2 linked regions of the Macaca mulatta genome follow. The protein of the gene in region 1 interacts with the protein of each later gene in a pairwise test. Links are inferred from orthologs where the notes say so. Each region holds a gene or a part of one and is shown in the gene's direction. Other genes may lie near its edges. The genes, in order: MX1 and PIAS1.

Region 1 (9,110 bases):
ACAGAAACCCGAACAACATAGTGAAGACCCCCTTCTCTATAAAAGAAAGAATTAGCCAGGTATAGTGGCGTGCACCTGTCAACTACTGGGAGGATTGCTGGAATCAGGGAGGCTGCAATGAGCCATGATTGTGCCACTGCACTCCAGCCTGGGCAACAGAGCAAGAACTTGTCTCAAAACAAAAACAAAACAAGCAAGAAAGAAACAGGTATAATGATATTTTAGTATTGGTGAATCTTCCTTTACAGATTAAAGATTTAGGGGTGAAGTGGGGTTTTTTGGCCACCATTTTTCATTGTGACCATCAGATCTAAGGTCTTGGGGGTTAATTACCTGAAACCTCGTGGTTTTCCCTGAGCCTACAGCTCTGTTTCTGCCGCAGATAATTTATTTTCTCATAATTCCAGCTTGGTAGGTACCTCCAGGGTTGCGTTTGTGGGTTCATTTCTCCAAAGTTACTTCTTTTGGGGGAAATACCCCTGGGACTCTCAGGGACTGAAGCAAGTACAAGGTCAGGACCTGTCTCACCTTTCACTTGCCTTTGCCATACTCAGGAGTCACCTCCTCTCATTTCCTTACAGATCAAGACACTCATCAGGAAGTACATCCAGAGGCAGGAGACGATCAACCTGGTGGTGGTCCCCAGTAACGTGGACATCGCCACCACAGAGGCGCTGAGCATGGCCCAGGAGGTGGACCCCGAGGGAGACAGGACCATCGGTGAGAATGGGGAAGCCCATCCGTGCTCGGTGAGAATGGGGGAGCCCGCCTGTGCTCAGTGGTCTGCCAGTGGGCAAGTGTCCCTCCAGTCTCCATGGGCTTTGCTCAGTGGGGACCTGCCTCCACTAAGACCTGCTAAGGGGGCAGGTTTGGTGCCCACCAAGGCCAAGCGAAATGAGCTGCTGTTGACTTTCACTGGCTAGGTTACCTTGTAACCCTTATCTACTTGCTCAGAAAGGCACAGTGGGTTCGGAAGCAGGGCAACTCAGGAAGCACATGGTATTCATTAAGAATGTGTTTGAGATGGGATGTCCATAACTCAAGGGACAAACAAAATGTGGCGTGTTCTACAGTGGACCCGGGTGAAGGAGCTTGGGGAGAGCCACACACTGTTCCGGGAGGCATTCCTGCCTTCACGTGGCTTGCCACGGAGTTCTTTTCTGGAGCGGGGCTCCACTGGCCCCATGGTTCTGCAGGGCCCATGGCCTGCCCTCAAGCAAGGATGGGAGGAAACCCTGGGAGACTGGGGGTATGAGCGGTTGTTCATTCACCTCTGCCTCGTGACTGGGCACGTTCTCTCCCCAAATACATCTGGCTCGCAGGAATCTTGACGAAGCCTGATCTGGTGGACAAAGGAACTGAAGACAAGGTTGTGGATGTGGTGCGGAACCTCGTGTTCCACCTGAAGAAGGGCTACATGATCGTCAAGTGCCGCGGCCAGCAGGAGATCCAGGACCAGCTGAGCCTGTCCGAAGCCCTGCAGAGAGAGAAGATCTTCTTTGAGGACCACCCACATTTCAGGTGCGCTCGCCTGGGTTTCATCACAGATCAGTCCAAGCCCAGGATGTCAGGCCTTCCTGGGGAAAGTGGCAGCCGTCCCACAGATGTGTGGAGTGTGTGTGTGACTATGCCTGTTCCCCAACAAGGACTATGGAATTCAGCTAGAAGAATAGAAAGGGGATTACAAAATACTGCCCCCCCCCAAAAAAAAAAAAAAACTAAAAACCAATCAAAATCAAAATAGGGAGAGAACAATGTACAATAATTTAAATAGTATGGTGCTAGAACCATATTTTATAAAAACATGAACAGAAAAGTAGAAAGTCCAGAAATAGACCTGGATATATATATTTGATACATGATAAACGCAGCATTTCAAATCAAATAGTGGACTATATCAGCTTGATTATCTATTAATGGTGTTGGGCTAATTAATATTTGGGAAAAAAATTAAAATACTGCTCTTACCTCATTATACCAAAATAGTTAAAGTTTAAAGTCAAACATTAAAAGGAAGCAATAAGCATCCCAGAAGAAAAGGTAGGTGAATAGTTCATAAGGCCTTTCTATCCCTCCTGCCAAAAGTGACATTTTTTGAAAGGAAAAGACTGATAAATTGGTAAGATTTAAAATGATGAGACTATGTAGAGTTGTAAACATTCTTGCATTCAGTTCTCCCAGAAGCCTACAGAGAACCATTACTCAGAATTCCAGAAATATCAAACAGAAACTTACATGCTGTTCTGCACATTCACAATAGCCAAAAGATGAGATGACTCAGTGTCATTGACGGACGGATGCAGAAAGCAATGTGGTCTGTACAAAAACGTGGAATACTTTCAGCCTTAGAAAGGCAAGGGCATTCCGACACATGCTACAACATGGATGAAGCTTGGGAACATTCTACTAAGTTAAAGAACCCAGTCATAAGAGGATGGATACTGTCTGATTCCACTTAGCTGAGGTCCCTGGAGTAGTAAGATTCATAGAGACAGAAAGAATGGTGGGTGCCAGGGGCTGGGAGAGAGAGAATGGGGAGGTAGTGTTTAATGGGGCCATTGTTTCAGTTTGGGAATATGAAAAGTTCTGAAGACAGTGGTGATGGTTGCATAATAGTGTGAACGTATTTAATGCCACTCAAGTGTACTCTTAAAGATGGTTAAATGGTCAATTTTATGTTGTATGTGTTTTACTACAATCTAGAAAAATTGACAGAGAAACTGAAGCTTAGGTATGACTATACTCTCACAAAAAGGCACAGAAACTCATGCTTCGCTGCTTCCTTTATCCTAAAATGTCCTATAAAATGTGGGAAACCCTGTAATAATACCCTGGGAGCACAAGTTTTGGATCGGGTGAGAAGATGCTTGACTTCCTTCCTCCAGGCAGCCCATGGTTTAAGTTTTTATCTTGGACAAGATATCTTGTGTCTCTTCTCCTCAGTGTTCTGCTACCCATTTATCTCAGGATGCTTCAATGTATTCGTATGAAGATATGTCTCTATCCATTATGATTACCTACACATATTACACATAGAAGGGGGTATGTGTTATATAAACGTGTCTATACATGCCTGTGTATTTTTGTGATGACCAAGTCTAGAGTCAAATACCATGATACACATTTATTATATCAGCTGGAAGGGCTTATTCCATATCATTGTTGAAATATCCTAGATTGCTAAAATTCAGTCATAATCCTATTCAATCCAATTCTGAGTATTTGTTGGGTACCAATTGCAAGACATTCCATCCAGTTGTAAACAACTGAAATTCACCTTGACTTTTCCCAACAGCAGAAGGCAGACATGCGTGTTCTGGCTACATCAAGGTGGAAAACATTCTTGTGTTCTCTTCTAGGGATCTGCTGGAGGAAGGCAAGGCCACGATTCCCTGCCTGGCAGAGAAACTTACCAGCGAGCTCATCACACACATCTGTGTAAGCACGGGCAGAGCTGTGGGTTCTCTGAAAAGAATACTACAAACACAGCTGAACCTTGCTGGCTGCTTAAACATCGCTGTACACACAGATCTTCTGAGGATCTTGTTAAGATGCAGATTCAGATTCTGTGGGTCTGGAGTGCGGGCTAGGATTCTGCATTTCCAGCAAGCTCCCAGACGATGCGGATACTGCTTTTCAGGGGACCACAGTCTGGGGGGATGCTGACAGACTATCTCAACTGGGCCAAAATAAAAATTAAAATCTTATGCACAAGCTACTAACTCTTCCTTTCCCATTGACAACCACTATTATAATGTCTTAGTCATTCTAACGAACGTATTTTTTAACTTCTAAAAGCTTTGTAAAAGCTCTGTGGTTCTTTTTAAAAATCTGCCTGAATGTAGTCTCTTCCTTTTTCAAATTTTCTTTTTCTTTTTTTTTTTTTTTTTGAGACAGAGTCTCTCTCTCTATTGCCCAGGCTGGAGTGCGGTGGCGTGATCTTGGCTCACTGCAACCTCTGCCTCCTGGGTTCAAGCCATTCTCATACCTCGGCCTTCTGAGTAGCTGGGATTACAGGTGCACACCACCATGCCCAGCTAATTTTTGTATTTTTAGTAGAGTCAGGGTTTCGCCATGTTGGCCAGGCTGGCCTTTTTCAAATTTTCAACTCAGCACCAGAGTGCAAGGTCTTCCCCGTGGTCCCCAGGAATGTGGGTGCAGAATGGGTTTGTTTTCCAGCTGACTGTGATGAGTGCAGAGCTCTTTGGGGTCCCATTGTATGCAGAAAAGGGATGGTTCCTTATTAGATTCCCCACCTCAAGCAAGCCCATGGGTTTTTTTTTTTTTGCCATTGTACCAAGTCAGGCTCGTAGGTTTACGTTTGAGTTTTCTTACCTAGACAGATGCCCTTGCGGCTGAGATAGGCTCCATTGCTGCCTCCTTCTTGAGCCCCTCCTTGGCCACTGTTACTGGGGCTGGCATCTGAGTACCCCTCACTAGCTTGTCAGCCCACCGATACATTTTAAAGGTACGGCTTTCACATGTCAGCCGGCATTGTTAGATGTTTGCTATGGAAGTGTGAGCCAGCACATGGTGCCAACCGTATTGTTAAAAACATAAGTCTCTGATCACTTTTTATTGATTGCAAACAACATAAAAGTTGTTGAATCTCCAATTGCTCCAAATGCCACTTCTTCAGAACCTACTAAACAAGTGGATCTCCCCAGTCTCCCTCCAGAGAGTTTACCTAATTCGACGACAGGAGGAACTGCCCCTGGGTCGCTCTACCAGGGCCCGGCACCCATGCACAGTGGGTGCCTCAGTGCTGCTCATGAGGCTGCTGCCGCAGGAGTCGGGAAGGGGGAAGACCTGGGCAGGAAACAGTGCCCCTAGCGTGTGTCCCCCTGCCCCCCAGGTCTGGAAAAGCTTCCTTTTAGAGGAAGCCAGGAAGTCAAATGGCCCACACAGCTCCTATGTAGAGGGAGGCCCGGGACCTCCTTTTCATTCCCTGTTCATCTTTATCAATTCCCATTATTTTCTCTCCGTTTTCCTCAGAAATCTCTGCCGCTGTTAGAAAATCAAATCAAGGAGAGTCACCAGGGAATAACAGAGGAGCTACAAAAGTATGGTGTCGACATACCGGAAGATGAAAATGAAAAAATGTTCTTTCTGATAGACGTGAGTGTTGCCAGCTACATGGAGCTGGAGAAGCACATGTCATGGTCAGAAAAGGGGCCCTGGGCCTCACGCACTTCCTTCTTCACTCCCCCGAGGCTGATCCAAAGACATCTGGCCCGTCGCACTCAAAGAGTGGACAGGGCTGAGGGAGGCAGGGCAGGGAGTGCGGGTGTGCGGGGGGAGTCAGCAGTGAGGGATGCTCAGGCTGCATTGTGACCGCTCTGTCATGATCATTGCCCAGATCCTTAAGGCAGTAAGGGGTGGGATAGGATTTTCTGGTGCCAAAACCTCTGCTTTCCTCTGATCCACAGTGTCCCATAAGGAAGCAAAGAATGACTCCCTACCCTCCACATAGGCACGGCCTCCAAACGACCTTGACCTTGGATTTGAAGTCTATCCGCTTATACTGATGTTTTTCTTCTTGACAGAAAATTAATGCCTTTAATCAGGACATCACTGCTCTCATACAAGGGGAGGAAACTGTAGGGGAAGATGACAGCCGACTGTTTACCAGACTCCGACGTGAGTTCCACAAATGGGGTATAATAATTGAAAACAATTTGCAAGAAGGTGAGTGTCTTAGTCCCTTCTTTGAGCTGCTACAACCAAATACCTGAGACTGGGTCATTTATAAACAGTAGAAACTTATTGCTCATTGTTCTGGAGGCAAGAAATCCATTCTTAAGGAATCAGGAAATTTGGTGTCTGGTGAGAGCTTATTCCCTGCTTCAAAGATGGCACCTTCTAGCTGTGTCCTCTCATGGGATAAGGGACGAACAAGCTTCCTCAGACCTCTTTTTTACAGAGATACCAGAGGCATACCTCAGAGAGATTGTGGGTTCAGTTCCAGACAAAACAAATATTGCAATAATGCAAGTCACATAAACTTCTTGGTTTCTGGTGCATAAACAGTTCGTTTATGCCATACTGTAGTCTACTAAGTGTGTAATAACATTAGGCCTAAAAAGTATGTACGGACCTTAGTTTAAAACACCTTATTGCTAAAAAATTGCTGATACAGAAACAAAAAGTAGCATGTGCTACCGGAAAAAATGGTGCTGATTTGCTTGACATGGGGTTGCCACCAACCTTCAATTGCAAAAATTACAGTATCTGAAGTGCCTGGAATCCCATTCATGAGGGCAGAGTGCTCATAACCCAATCCTTCCTAAAGATCTCCTCTGTTGATACCATTACACTGAGGATTGAGTTTCAACATAGGAATTTTTAGGGGACACTAACATGTAGACCATAGCCATGAGTCAATAGCGTGGTGAGCCTGGTATGTTGGCTTAAGACAGGAGAGTGGGGCAGTTGGGGAGGATGGTCAGGATAAGGAGCTGATGACAGCTAAAGCCACATTTGCTCTCTTCTATATCACTGAACCCAAATGACCATCCGCTGATGAATCGATAAACTAACTGGCATGTGTCTGTGTGTAGCAGTTGGCTCTGGCTGCCATAACACAGTCCCACAGACTTAGTGGGGGCTTAAACAGTAGAAATTTATTTTCTTACAATTCTGAAGGCTGGAAGTCCAAGATCAAATTGCTGGTGGAGTTGGTCCCTTCTAAGGCCTCTCTCCTTGCCTTGCACATGGCGTCTTCTCGCTAGGTCCTCATGTGGTTTTCCCTCTGTGTGTGTCTGTGTCCTCATCTTCTCCTACAAGGACACTAGGCACATGGGATGAGGGCCTACCCTAGTGACCTGATTTCAATTTAATTACCTCTTTGCCTGTCTCCAAACACAGTAAGATTCTGAGTTCCTGAGGGTTAGGACTTCAGCATAGGAATTTGAAGAGGTCACAACTCAAACTCAGCCCATAACACCAAGCCCTGGAATATTTCCAGCCACAGACAGGCACAGAGCGCTGGTCCACAGCACCCCATGGATGAACCTTGAAAACATCATGCTGAGTGAAAGAAGCCAGCCACAAAGGCCACATATCATATTCTATGATTCCATTGATAGAAAATGGCTAGAGTGGGCAAACCCAGACAGGCATAAAGCAGAATAGTGGCTGCCAGGGGCTGGGGAGGGAAAAGTGGGAAGTGGTCATTGATGGGTGATGGGTGTGGGGTTTGGGAGTTATGTCTGGGGATGGTTGCACAACTTTGTGAATATACTAAAATTCACTCACACATACACTTTCTTTTTCTTTTTCTTTTTCTTTGGAGACAGGGTCTTGCTGTGTCACCCAGGCTGGGGTGCAGTGGCTCAGTCTCGGCTCACTGCACCCTCTGCCTCCCGGGTTCAAGTGATTCTCCTGCTTCAGCCTCCGCCTCCCTAGTAGCTGGGATTACAGGCACCTGCCACCACACCTGGCTAATTTTTGTATTTTTAGTAGAGATGGGGTTTCACCATGTTGGCCAGGCTGGTCTTGACCTCCTGACCACAAGTGATCCACCAGCCTCAGCCTCCCAAAGTGCCGGGATTATGGGCGTGAGCCACCGCACCTGGCCTGAACCATATACTTTCAATCGAGTGAATTTTATACTATGTAAATGATATCTCAGTAAGAAAAATCCTTATGGGAAAGTATTTCCTGACTGAAAAAGGGTACTAGATTACCATTCAAAAAGGAACTCACACCCTCTGAACTTCTGATGGGGCTAACTCTCTCTATGTGGACTGTTGGGAGTACAAACAATTCCAAAAGTTTAAAGAAAAATGCAGCATCTTACACAGTGAACAGTGCTACTGTATCACATTCACACAAGTTGATATACCTGGTTTACTCTGTTATCCCATTTGACTTGTAAACACTTTCTACACACGAATATATGACATGTTGTTAATTCCAGAAAGTGTTCATGCTCATTTCTAATGGGCATACAGTTGAGGGCAAGGAATGTGTTATGGTACAATTTCTTTGGTAAAACTAAAATTAGGTTCACAACAGTTCATACTCGAGTAAGTTTTTAAGAAGGGGTCTTGGCCAGGCACAGTGGCTCACGCCTGTAATCCCAACACTTTGGGAGGCTGACACGGGTGGATCACGAGGTTAGGAGATCCAGACCATCCTGGCTAACATAGTGAAACCCTGTCTCTACTAAAAATACAAAAAAATTAGCCGGGCGTGGTGGCGGGCACCTGTAGTCCCAGCTACTTGGGAGGCTAAGGCAGGAGAATGACGTGAACCCAGGAGGTGGAGCTTGCAGTGAGCCGAGTTTGCGCCACTGCACTCCAGCCTGGGTGACAGAGCAAGACTCCGTCTCAAAAAAAAAAAAAAAAAGAGGGGGTCTTACTCAAAGTTTCTGCATGTGCAGGTTCCTGGCATCGTACCTGACTCTGCACTCCCCTTCCTGAGGTGACTAAGGAAAATTATCTTGAGATCTGGCTTTTCTGTGTGTGTGTGCAATCTCTGAATATTTTTAGTTTACCAGTTAGATTTGATTTGATATCACTTTTTCTTGCCATTTATATTTTCAGAAAATCTAGAATGGTATTGTGTTTAGAAAAATGTGCAAGATTATTTTTGTGAGATAATTTGGTGTTATTTTTTTCCTGCTATAGGCCATAAAATTACGAGTAGAAAAATGCAGAAATTTGAAAATCAGTATCGTGGTAGAGAGCTGCCAGGCTTTGTGAATTACAGGACATTTGAGACAATCGTAAAACAGCAAATCAAGGCACTGGAAGAGCCAGCTGTGAATATGCTACACACTGTGACGGGTGAGTGCTCAGTTTCACTTCTGGGCATTGATTTCTAAAGAAGGGAAAGGTTCGAACCAAAGCCAGCACCAGACTTCAGCACTTTCCTCCTGGGGTGCATCCCACACCACCAAGCAAACCTCTAATTCTGCAGGTGTCAAGTTGGTGTTCAACAATTCAATTCAATTCTGACACTGCCCTGAGTCTGTGTGGATCCCATAGCTTAAAGGGCTCAGTCCCACAAGACCGGCCCCAACTGCAGACGCCAGTCACAAGCCCCAGACCTCCCATTCTTCTGATGGACTGTTTATAAATCAAGGTTCTTGCCACCCGTTCCTC
Region 2 (9,891 bases), on another chromosome or scaffold:
AACAAAAATTCAAACATTTGCTTTTCCTTCCTACTTAATTCCTCCAACATTTGTAAACTAATCATGAAGATTCTTATTTTTATGACAATATAGTTATTTGCATAAGTTCAATAAGAAGCTCTTCTCTTTAACAAAATACAACTGGAAATATTGGTTACATTACCAAAGCTTTGATTGCAGTGTCATATTGTATTAGTCTGTTCTCACGCTGCTACGAAGACATACCTGGGACTGGGTAATTTATAAAGAAAAGAGGTTTAATTGACTCAGTTCTGCATGGCTGGGAATGCCTCAGGAAACTTACAATCCTGGTAGAAGGTACCTCTTCACAGGGTGGCAGGAGAGAGAATGGTTGCCGAGCAAAGGGGGAAGCCCCTTATAAAACCATAAGATCTCCTGAGAACTCACTATCACAAGCACAGCATGGAGGGATTCCCGCCCCCCCACCCCGCCACCAGTGCTGTTCATTCATTCATTATCAATTGAATTGATAATGATTCAATTATATCCACCTAGTCCTGCCCTTGACACCTGGGAATTATTACAATTCAAGGTGACATTTGGTTGGTGACACAGGGCCAAACCATATCATTCATATATATATATTCATATATATATAGCAACATCATATTTTAAAATCTGCATAGAATCATAGAATGCCAATTTTCAAGGGTTCTCAGCCTTATAGTGAACAACAGTTGTCACTTTCAGGCAGGCCCAGAAACCTCAAGATATTAGATATTGCAGGCAAAGTCTGATGTCTGCCTTGGTTTGACTTCCTAACATCAAGAGGTTTTTAAAAGTCCAATCTGAGACTCGTCGTCACCATTTCCAGCAAAATAAATTTAAAACAAGCTTATGTGGTTATTCTTGCTGCACTTATGTAAATAATCAGGTCAAGTTTGAAACTAAAATCATTTAAAAAAACAAATTGGTCTTACTATGATTATCTTTGGTGGAAACGGGAATGACTGTAGAGAGAAAAATTATGTTTCTGATGAAAACTATAATACACCTGTTATTAGATTGCAGCTTTGTTCATTGTTTTTGAGTTTTTATCATATATCTATAGACTAGACTGGATCCTGATTTCTCATTGCCTTCAATATCTGACTACAATTCTCCAACCATGAACAAAAACTGCTAAGCTGAACAACTCGATATAAATTTCAAGGGATAAGTCCCATGCTTGATGAGGGAACCACACAGAGGGTTCGGCAGAACACCTGATGCCACAGCCAGAGACATTTAAACTGCAAACCAGGACGAGAAATTGCTGACATCATGTTGTGGACAGTGTTTTCCAAGACTGTCAGAAGAAGACTCGCTACCATAATAAGACTCTTTCCCTTCTTAATTTTTTCTTGCTTTTGCCCACCTGTTCCACTTGGCAGGATAATGCTGTAGTTAAAATTTCACAATCAGTTGTTTTTGTGGGCAAGTTGATAAAGTGTAACATGTCAAACCCAAACCTTTACAGGACCCAAGAGAGCTTTTATTCCACCTAGTGGGTAACTTTAGCAACATCCCTAATGCAACTGTTTGTTCAAATTTTACTAGTGGCCTCTTTTGTAGAGTTAGCACTCTTTGCTTCAATTTAACCAATTCCTGAGATGCTAGATGACAGAATGGCTACCTACTAACCAAACAGGGGGAAATCTGTGCTGTTGCTGACACTTGTTGTTGTACATAATCTGGTATTATAGAGACTCAGTTTCAAAAAGTTAGCAGGCTACTTGGTTAAAACAGGTAGATTTCTCATCTGGCTCATTCTTTGATCTATATGATTTTAGTTGGTTTGGTTTATGGCAACCCTAGCTAAGAAGCATACTCTGAACTCTTGGCATTGTCCACCTGATAGTCATAATTCTCAACTATGTTCTCTCAAAAAGTTTTAAATGTTTGTATACAGCCAACTGTTGAATGTCAAGTGGTCTCTCTTCACCTGCAATGACAGAAATGCATAATCGTGAGGACACTGTAATCTATAAATGATGTGTGGAGACTAGAAAACCAGAATGATGTTAAGTGAGGGTAGTGCTAACGCCCTCCGTCTTAGTGTCACAATTTCACCTAGGTTAATTGTTAAATAAAAATCACAGGATGCCATTGTTTTGAACCAAATTCCTGCATCAGGCCTCCAGACCAGACTAAAAATCAAAATGGTGTCACCCATGTTCACTAAAACAAAACTGAGTTATCTGGTTTTACAAAAAATCATGAGAGAGAGACCAATTTTCTTTTTTTTTTTTGAGACTGAGTCTGGCTCTGTCGCCCAGGCTGGAGTGCAGTGGCCGGATCTCAGCTCACTGCAAGCTCCGCCTCCCGGGTTCAGGCCATTCTCCTGCCTCAGCCTCCCGAGTAGCTGGGACCACAGGCGCCCGCCACCTCGCCCGGCTAGTTTTTTGTATTTTTTAGTAGAGACGGGGTTTCACCGTGTTAGCCAGGATAGTCTCGATCTCCTGACCTCGTGATCCGCCCGTCTCGGCCTCCCAAAGTGCTGGGATTACAGGCTTGAGCCACCGCGCCCGGCCCAGAAGGCTTTTAGTAGAGACAAAAAAGAATGAAATAATCCTTCCATCAAGTCTACTTAAATGTCAATTTAGTGGATAAAACTCTCCCAGAATTAAGTACATCTCCCAAACCCTTCTTCTTTCTCAATGGACCGTTTGCTCCCTTCTGGTACTCAAAAAATAACATTTGAAATTGTATCTTTGTTCGTTCACTTGTCTGATTCCCCATTAGAGAACTACAGAAGGGCAGGGACTTTGATTCCCCAATGTATATTTAGCCGTTAGCACAAAGCCAACAGATAGTCACTAAATACATTTTTTTAAAACAAAAATGTTAATGAACACCTTCAAAATTTTGTCTTACGCCACCTCGCAAAAATTCTTGTTTGTGCAAGTCACTTTTCCTTTCTGAGCTTTCATTTCTGAATCTATACCCTGGGAATTATCTCTTCCTTGCCTACCTCACCGCGTTATCAAGAGGAGGATCTGAGCCAATAATGCTAGAAATGCTTCATTAAGGGCCCCTTAAATGTAACGGATTTCTATTTTTAGCCCACTGGTAGCCTCGCAAGTAGCAGGTGCTGAAAAAGCCTTGCTTATTAGGGGTTGGAGGACAGCATTGTTTCTGTGACCGTAGGCGTCGAAGCTATGCAGAAGCGTTCCACGGACCGCGGAGAGATGGGGCTCAGGCCAGCATCCCTCTCGCCCCTGCCCTTCCCGGGAGGCGCTGGCCGAGAGAGGATGGGGGGGCTGGGAAGCCGAGGGGGTAGTAACTGTCAAACCTCGCCGCTTGGCGCCATTATTTAAATAGAACGTGCCTGTCTCGCAGTTGTACGTGTCCGGGGCGGGGCTTCCAGCGCCCTAAGCGGGGCGGAGGCCAGAGGCGGGCTGGGAAGGTGGAGGGGCGGGCCGGGGCGGGGCCAGGCCGGCTAGAGGGGCGGGTCTAGCGGCGGCCCCCGGCGAGGTTCACTGCGCTTGCGCTGACAGACGCAAGATGGCGGACAGTGCGGAACTAAAGGTAAAGCGCAGCTCGAATTCACTTCTAATATTCGGCCGCGGAGACGGCGCCTCTGGTGCCTGGGGGGATGGGTCCGACCCTGGGGGGCCGCTCGGGCCTGACTCCACCCGGGCCTGGAGTTGTAGGGAGAGAGGCGCGCCCGGTCTCAGCAGAGGGGGCCCGCCTGCGGCGGGCCGCGGGCCCCGGGTGCCTCGGGGGCGCTGACGGGTCGTCCCCGGCGTGTTATTGTTGTGGGCGCCTCTGGCGGGGGTGGCGGGGGAAGAGATAGGGAGTCGGGAGGTAGGGGCTGCAGCTGTCTCCTGGGCTCGGCTTTTTCACCTTCTAGTTAGCCTCCCCGCCCCCCATGGGGAGCTGGGGCTGGGGGCAGGGTGCTCTTGTAGGGGGGATTGGGAAAGCTCCCCGTGGCCGCTTCCTCTTCCTCCTTTGCAGTCCCGGGCTCCTGTCAGGCGCTCTTCTCAGACCCCCGGGAACTTGGCTCCGGCCGCCCCGCCCCTCCGTGGATCCCTGTCGCCCCCGCCCCGGACTCGGCTCTCCCCGGCTGCTCGCTTTCAGGAAGCGCCTGGGGTGCCCCGCTTGAGGGAAGCGCGATCCCGGGGCGATAGGGTGGGGATCTGGGGGGAGAAGCTCTGGTAAAGTTTAGCGAGCCCCGGGCCGGCATTGGGGTTCGGCTGAGAGGTAGCGGGGGAGAGTCAGCCTGGGCGGGACGTTACTCTCTCTCTGATTCCGGGCAGCCGAGGGGAGAAACCCCCTCGAAGAGTGTGTCTTTGGAAGCAGTGTTGGGAGAGGGGGATGTAGCTACCTCTCTCCCTTCTCTTGCCTTGGCTGGTGTGGAGGGTGAGAGGAGCCTTTGGGGGTCTCTGCACACACCATGATGGCGATGCTGTAGCTGATGGAGGTGAATGGTTCGTGTTTATATCCCCCCATTGCCTTTTGTTTGTAGGGACATCTTGCTGGCCATGTTGATTTGAACGAAATTCTCCCCTCATGCTACTCTAACCCCCGATAAATAGAACGTTCCTCTTAACTGTACCAATTACTCACGCCTCACGAAATTAGATGAAAGGGTGCCCCCTTTTCCCCGCTTTTCTCCCACCCCAATCTTTACCTGATGATGGCTTCTTTACCGAAGCAGATATACCACTACACAAGCAGTTGGGGGAGGGGGGGTGGAACCCTTATGATTGGATTGTGACAAATGGGGCTCCGCTTGAATAATTTTGGTTTAGTAGCAGGCAGTTCTTAACTAACGCGTATTATTTCGAGGCTCTGAACGCGATCTTCTCTGTGGCTTCCTGTGTGTGTGAACCCAGCAGCTGGTTATGTCTCGACCCAGAGAACTGACATCTCTGTCAGAGTGGAGATTGGGATATACAATTGTAAATCTTTGGAGAGAGTCTTCTTTTTATAATTAATACAAATTATTTAATTTTTTTCTCCGTTATAATGAAACGACAACTTCTAGAACAACCAAATGCCAGATTTGATTCTGTAGAGTTTTTCCTGTGGAATATCCTCACCGAAAGATCTTTTCTCCTAATAACTTCACAATGTTTACACTCCAAGATTTATGTATTAAAGTATTGGCTTTGAGTGTCATTCATTTAAAATGTACTTATAATTACAACTTTATTTAAGGGAGAGCAGATTTAGAATGGATGGTTTTGGGTTTTCTCCAGTTTCAAACTATTGACTGAAATGAGAAAGCCTTAGGAATTTGAATATTTGGAGATAGTTAACCCTTGAAATAAAAAAAAAAGCACACAACTTTAAGACATGTTTTCTATGATTTTTCTCTTATGATAGAGTCATCATGTTGCTGTGATCTTTGCCTTCTAATATTTATTTTGTTAGGAGTTCTTTTGAATGATAGCTAATCAGTTGTTATACATGGACCATAGAATAAAGCCGAAAAGCTTGTGCAGACTATATTGTCACTCTTGATGCTGTCCAAAGAAACTAGTATGGAAAGCACATGCTGAGAGATTTCCTTCTTTGTTCTTTCTCATTTTAAGAAAGTGCCTTTGGGGATGGATTAGAACCCTGGTGTGAGTCTTGTTAGGTAAAGTTTCTCTTTACGAAAGTGAACCAGTATCAGATAAACACCAAACACTTGAAGAAATGTTATTTTTCTAAAATTAGTCTCGTTTTTTGCTCTCTCCCAAATCTACTTGAGTTTTTCCAGAGGAAGTTTTTTTTTTCTACTTTTATGTTCCTGTTGTATAATTTTTCAAATTATAATAACTGTTTTGACATGTTGGTATGTCATTGTGTGTGTCTGAGACTTTGAGGAGCTGTGTGATAAATTGCTTAGCTGGTGATAACTGCATTAAAAAAATTTGGTTAATACTTTATTGTGGTTAGATTTGCTGTTCTTTTTTTGGGGGGTGGAGGAGGTGATCTCAGGAACGCCTACCATAGTTATTTGAGAATGTGTTAAAAAAGAATGTGTATATATAATTTTCTGTGCAGTAAGGTTTGGCAGATACTCCTTTTGGAAATGATATTTTCGGAAGGCTTTTTGTTTGTGATTTTTTGGAGGTAAATATGCATTCCTAATATACGAAAAATCAGTAAGAAGAAAATCTAGTTTTTTTGAAATTTTAAATGGGAATAGAGTACTTCAACTGTGAAGCTTTGCATAACATTCAGTGACTTTTCATTATCTTAGGTTTCAGCCCCATACTTCATTTTGCTGTGTATTCATAATTATTTTCCTCATGGCTTTTTTAGTGAGTCCTTTTAAATCTATAAGAAATCTGCAAAGATCAGATGGGAAAACGGATAGATCTTTATCCCCTGTAGGAATTGCGCAAGCTGCAACACTTCAAGATATTGCCAATAAAAATTAGATTGTGAATCATACATATCAAAAGGAATTCTCTATGCACATTTGTTTATGAAAGGCTTAATTTTTCATTAGGGGAATACCCATAAATGACATTTTAAGAATGTGGAGGGTATTTTGTCATCTTTAGGAACTTAGAAGCAGGAGGGTGTGATGGCCAGATGATCTTGGTGGTTAATAAGCTGACAGCTTCATGCAGCTCCTCTTAAAGTACTTTTAAAAAAAATATGGTTTTTTTTTGGAGTAAAACTCAAACCAAATTATATTGCCATTTTAATTTACAGGAAGAAGAGTGGGAGAGAAGAAGCTCATCGTCATTTTAGTGGAGTAAATAATTAAATTAAATGGAAAGAGAAACCATAATTATAAAAGTTCCTATAAGTGTGTTAGTGAATTCTATTGTTCTTTTCTGCCTCTTTATTTTCAAGAAATAGCCACTTAATTTTGATCCTTACGCTGTAATTTGTCTGCTTTTATTTCAGATAGAGGCAAGTACGTCTGACAGTTTATTCATGGATTTGATTTGAATCTCTGTAACTTGCCTTTGTCAAGTGCCACATTTAGATGGCTTTTGTTTTATGTCATTATTTTTATGAACAGTATTTAAAAAACACTACAGTATAGTTTATAAAATACTACAGTATAGTTTCTAAGTATTTCATATGATTGTTTTGAAATACTGCCTTCTTTTTATCCACCGTTTTCTCCTGGGCGATTGCATTGTCTTTCTCTTCAAAGAGTCTCTTGTAATCCCTGTTGATTGCAGTAGTGCTTGAGTCCATAGCTGATTAACCTTGGGTTTCTCCTGGTGAACTCCATCAGCATGCTGCTCCAGGGTTCTTGCTGAGGCTTTTGAGTTTAGTATAATTTGTACCCTTTCTTGCTGGTAACCAGGGATAAGAAAATAAAGTGGCCAATGGTTGTAGTGGGAACTGGGAAAAAGTATCCAAGTCCCAGAAAAACTGGGTGTTTATGATGAGATGTAGCCTTTAAAAAACAATGACCAAAAACGGATTCATTACTTCATAGAGTTGGCTGTGGTGTTTTCTGAAGTATTTGACCCTGGCATGAAGCATCTTGCTTTTTTAATGTTTGAATAATAATATCTTATTTATATAGTACTTTGCAGTTCATAATATATTGCATTATCTCTTTTGATCTTTCCAGCAGTTCTTTGAGGTAGGAAAGGCGAGTGATAACTAAATCCTTTTTATAGATAGAGAAAGTGAGCCCAGAAAGGGTAAGTGACTATTGCAAGGTCATACAAATAAAAGTGGCAGGGACTTGAGCCTACGTCTTGTGTAGGCCTCCTTAAAGGTACTACAGCAGACCTGGAGTCCTCTAGGGTGCCCAGTTCACAAAAATTTCTACTTATGTTGTTGCTGATACTTTCCCTTTTGGGAAAGCTCTATGCTAGGGTATTTTTGGATATTCCTAGGGCATTTTGCAAGCTTCCTTTCAAAAAGTTTGGAGTTTGTTAGTTGGAATCATACACATTAATTTTTGTAAGTGTCATTTTGCTTGGGAAAATTTCAGAGAATCTGAAAAGTAAGCAGAAAAATAAACAGTACCTGTAACCCCAACACTCAGAAATATCATGGTTAACATCTGGGTATTTATGCATTTAGATTTTCTCTCTGTGAGCATATGTATATGTATATTCATCACAAAAAGATACAACACTATTTTTTATTTATAATCTGCTATTTTCATGTCTATCCAGATTAGTAAATACAGGGCTGTACGATCATTTGAAAGCTTACATTGTATTTTGTTCAAATAGTCCCTATCAGATTAGTCTACTTTTTTTTTTTGGTTTGTTATTTTGAGACGGAGTCTTGCTCTGTTGCCCAGGCTGGGGTGCAGTGGCATGATCTTGACTCACTGCAAGCTCCACCTGCCGGGTTCACACCATTCTCCTGCCTAAACCTCTGGAGTAGCTGGGACTATAGGCACCCGCCACTACACCCTGCTAATTTTTTTGTATTTTTTTAGTAGAGATGGGGTTTCACCGTGTTAGTCAGGATGGTCTCGATCTCCTGACCTTGTGATTCGTCCATCTCGGCCTCCCAAAGTGCTGGGATTACAGGCGTGAACCACCGTGCCAGGCTTAGATTATTCTACTTTTTTTGCAGTGTCTTTGCAGCCTTGTGCCAAAGTTTGCAGATGTTTTATTTTAACTAAATATATTGATATGACAGATCTTTTTTGTGCTTTAGAAAGCAGTGCAGGCTGGACACCGTGACTCACAGCTCATGCCTGTAATCCCAACACCTTGGGAGGCCAAGGCGGGTGGATCACGAGGTCAGGAGTTCAAGACCAGCCTGACCAACATAGTGAAACCCCATCTCTACTAAAAATACAAACAATTAACTGGGCATGGTGGCAGGCGCCTGTAATCTCAGCTACTCAGGAGGCTGAGGCAGGAGAATTGCTTGAACCTGGGAGACAGAGGTGGCAGCGAGATTGTGCCACTGGACTCCAGCCTGGGCGACAGTGTGAGATTCTGTCTCAAAAAAAAAAGAAAGCAATACAAATGTTTCTTTTATTTTTCTAGAGACAGGGGTCTCGCTGTGTTGCCCAGGCTGGTCTCAAACTACTGGCCTCAAGCAATGCTGCCTCGGCCTCCCAAAGTGTTGGGATTACAGGTGTGAGGCACTCTGCCACTGTGCTCAGCCTGCAAATGGTTTTTACAGGTGTGAGGCACTGTGCCACTGCGCCCACTCTGCAAGTTAGATAAAATGTTTTCAGAGAAATAAATTAGTCATTCTTGGTTTGTTCATTGTCATAGCTTTATTGTTTATGTTTCTGTAATGTGTGAGATAAGATTATTAAATGATGGCAGATACAGGTTTTACAAAATGTAAGCAAACATTACTTCGGCATCAGAATGTTTGATAAAGTATGAAACTGCTTGTGAAATAGTATTTTATAATCTATTCATACTATTCTATGAATAGTAGAATTTCAAGTATGCAAGTATGTTTGATTTTGGAAATTATATCACAGTGATCAAATATTGCAAGTTTTTGTACCTTATTTAGATGCTTATCAGTTTTTTTTGTTTGTTTGTTTTTTTGAGACGGAGTCTTGCTCTGTGGCCCAGGCTGGAGTGCAGTCACACAGTCTCAGCTCACTGCAAGCTCCGCCTCCCGTGTTCACGCCATTCTCCTCAGCCTCCTGAGTAGCTGGGATTACAGGCACCAGCTACCACGTCCAGCTAATTTTTTGTATTTTTAGTAGAGACGGGGTTTCACCGTGTTAGCCAGGATAGTCTCCATCTCCTGACTTCGTGATCCACCTGCCTCGGCCTCCCAAAGTGCTGGGATTACAGGTGTGAGCTACCACGCCTAGCCGATGCTTGTCAGTTTTTAACTGGCATTTTTTTTTTTTTTTTTGAGATGGAGTCGCACTCTGTCGCCCAGGCTGGAGTGCAATGGCGAGATCTTGGCTCACTGCGATCTCTGCTTCCTTTGTTCAAGTGATTCTCCTGCTTCAGCCTCCCGAGTAGCTGG

Evidence for each region.
Region 2: the proteins of MX1 (region 1) and PIAS1 interact in a two-hybrid assay, tested with the Homo sapiens proteins (2 studies listed by BioGRID). The link is inferred for Macaca mulatta from reciprocal best matches to the Homo sapiens genes MX1 and PIAS1.

The regions. Positions count from the first base shown.
Region 1 is NC_133408.1:6,018,682-6,027,791, reverse strand, and holds part of MX1 (interferon-induced GTP-binding protein Mx1), read left to right. Parts: intron 1-581; coding exon 582-720; intron 721-1,322; coding exon 1,323-1,521; intron 1,522-3,359; coding exon 3,360-3,438; intron 3,439-4,995; coding exon 4,996-5,118; intron 5,119-5,546; coding exon 5,547-5,688; intron 5,689-8,633; coding exon 8,634-8,792; intron 8,793-9,110.
Region 2 is NC_133412.1:45,605,109-45,614,999, forward strand, and holds the start of PIAS1 (E3 SUMO-protein ligase PIAS1), read left to right. Parts: upstream 1-3,497; 5' UTR 3,498-3,507; coding exon 3,508-3,531; intron 3,532-9,891. UniProt on the Homo sapiens protein: Functions as an E3-type small ubiquitin-like modifier (SUMO) ligase, stabilizing the interaction between UBE2I and the substrate, and as a SUMO-tethering factor. Catalyzes sumoylation of various proteins, such as CEBPB, MRE11, MTA1, PTK2 and PML.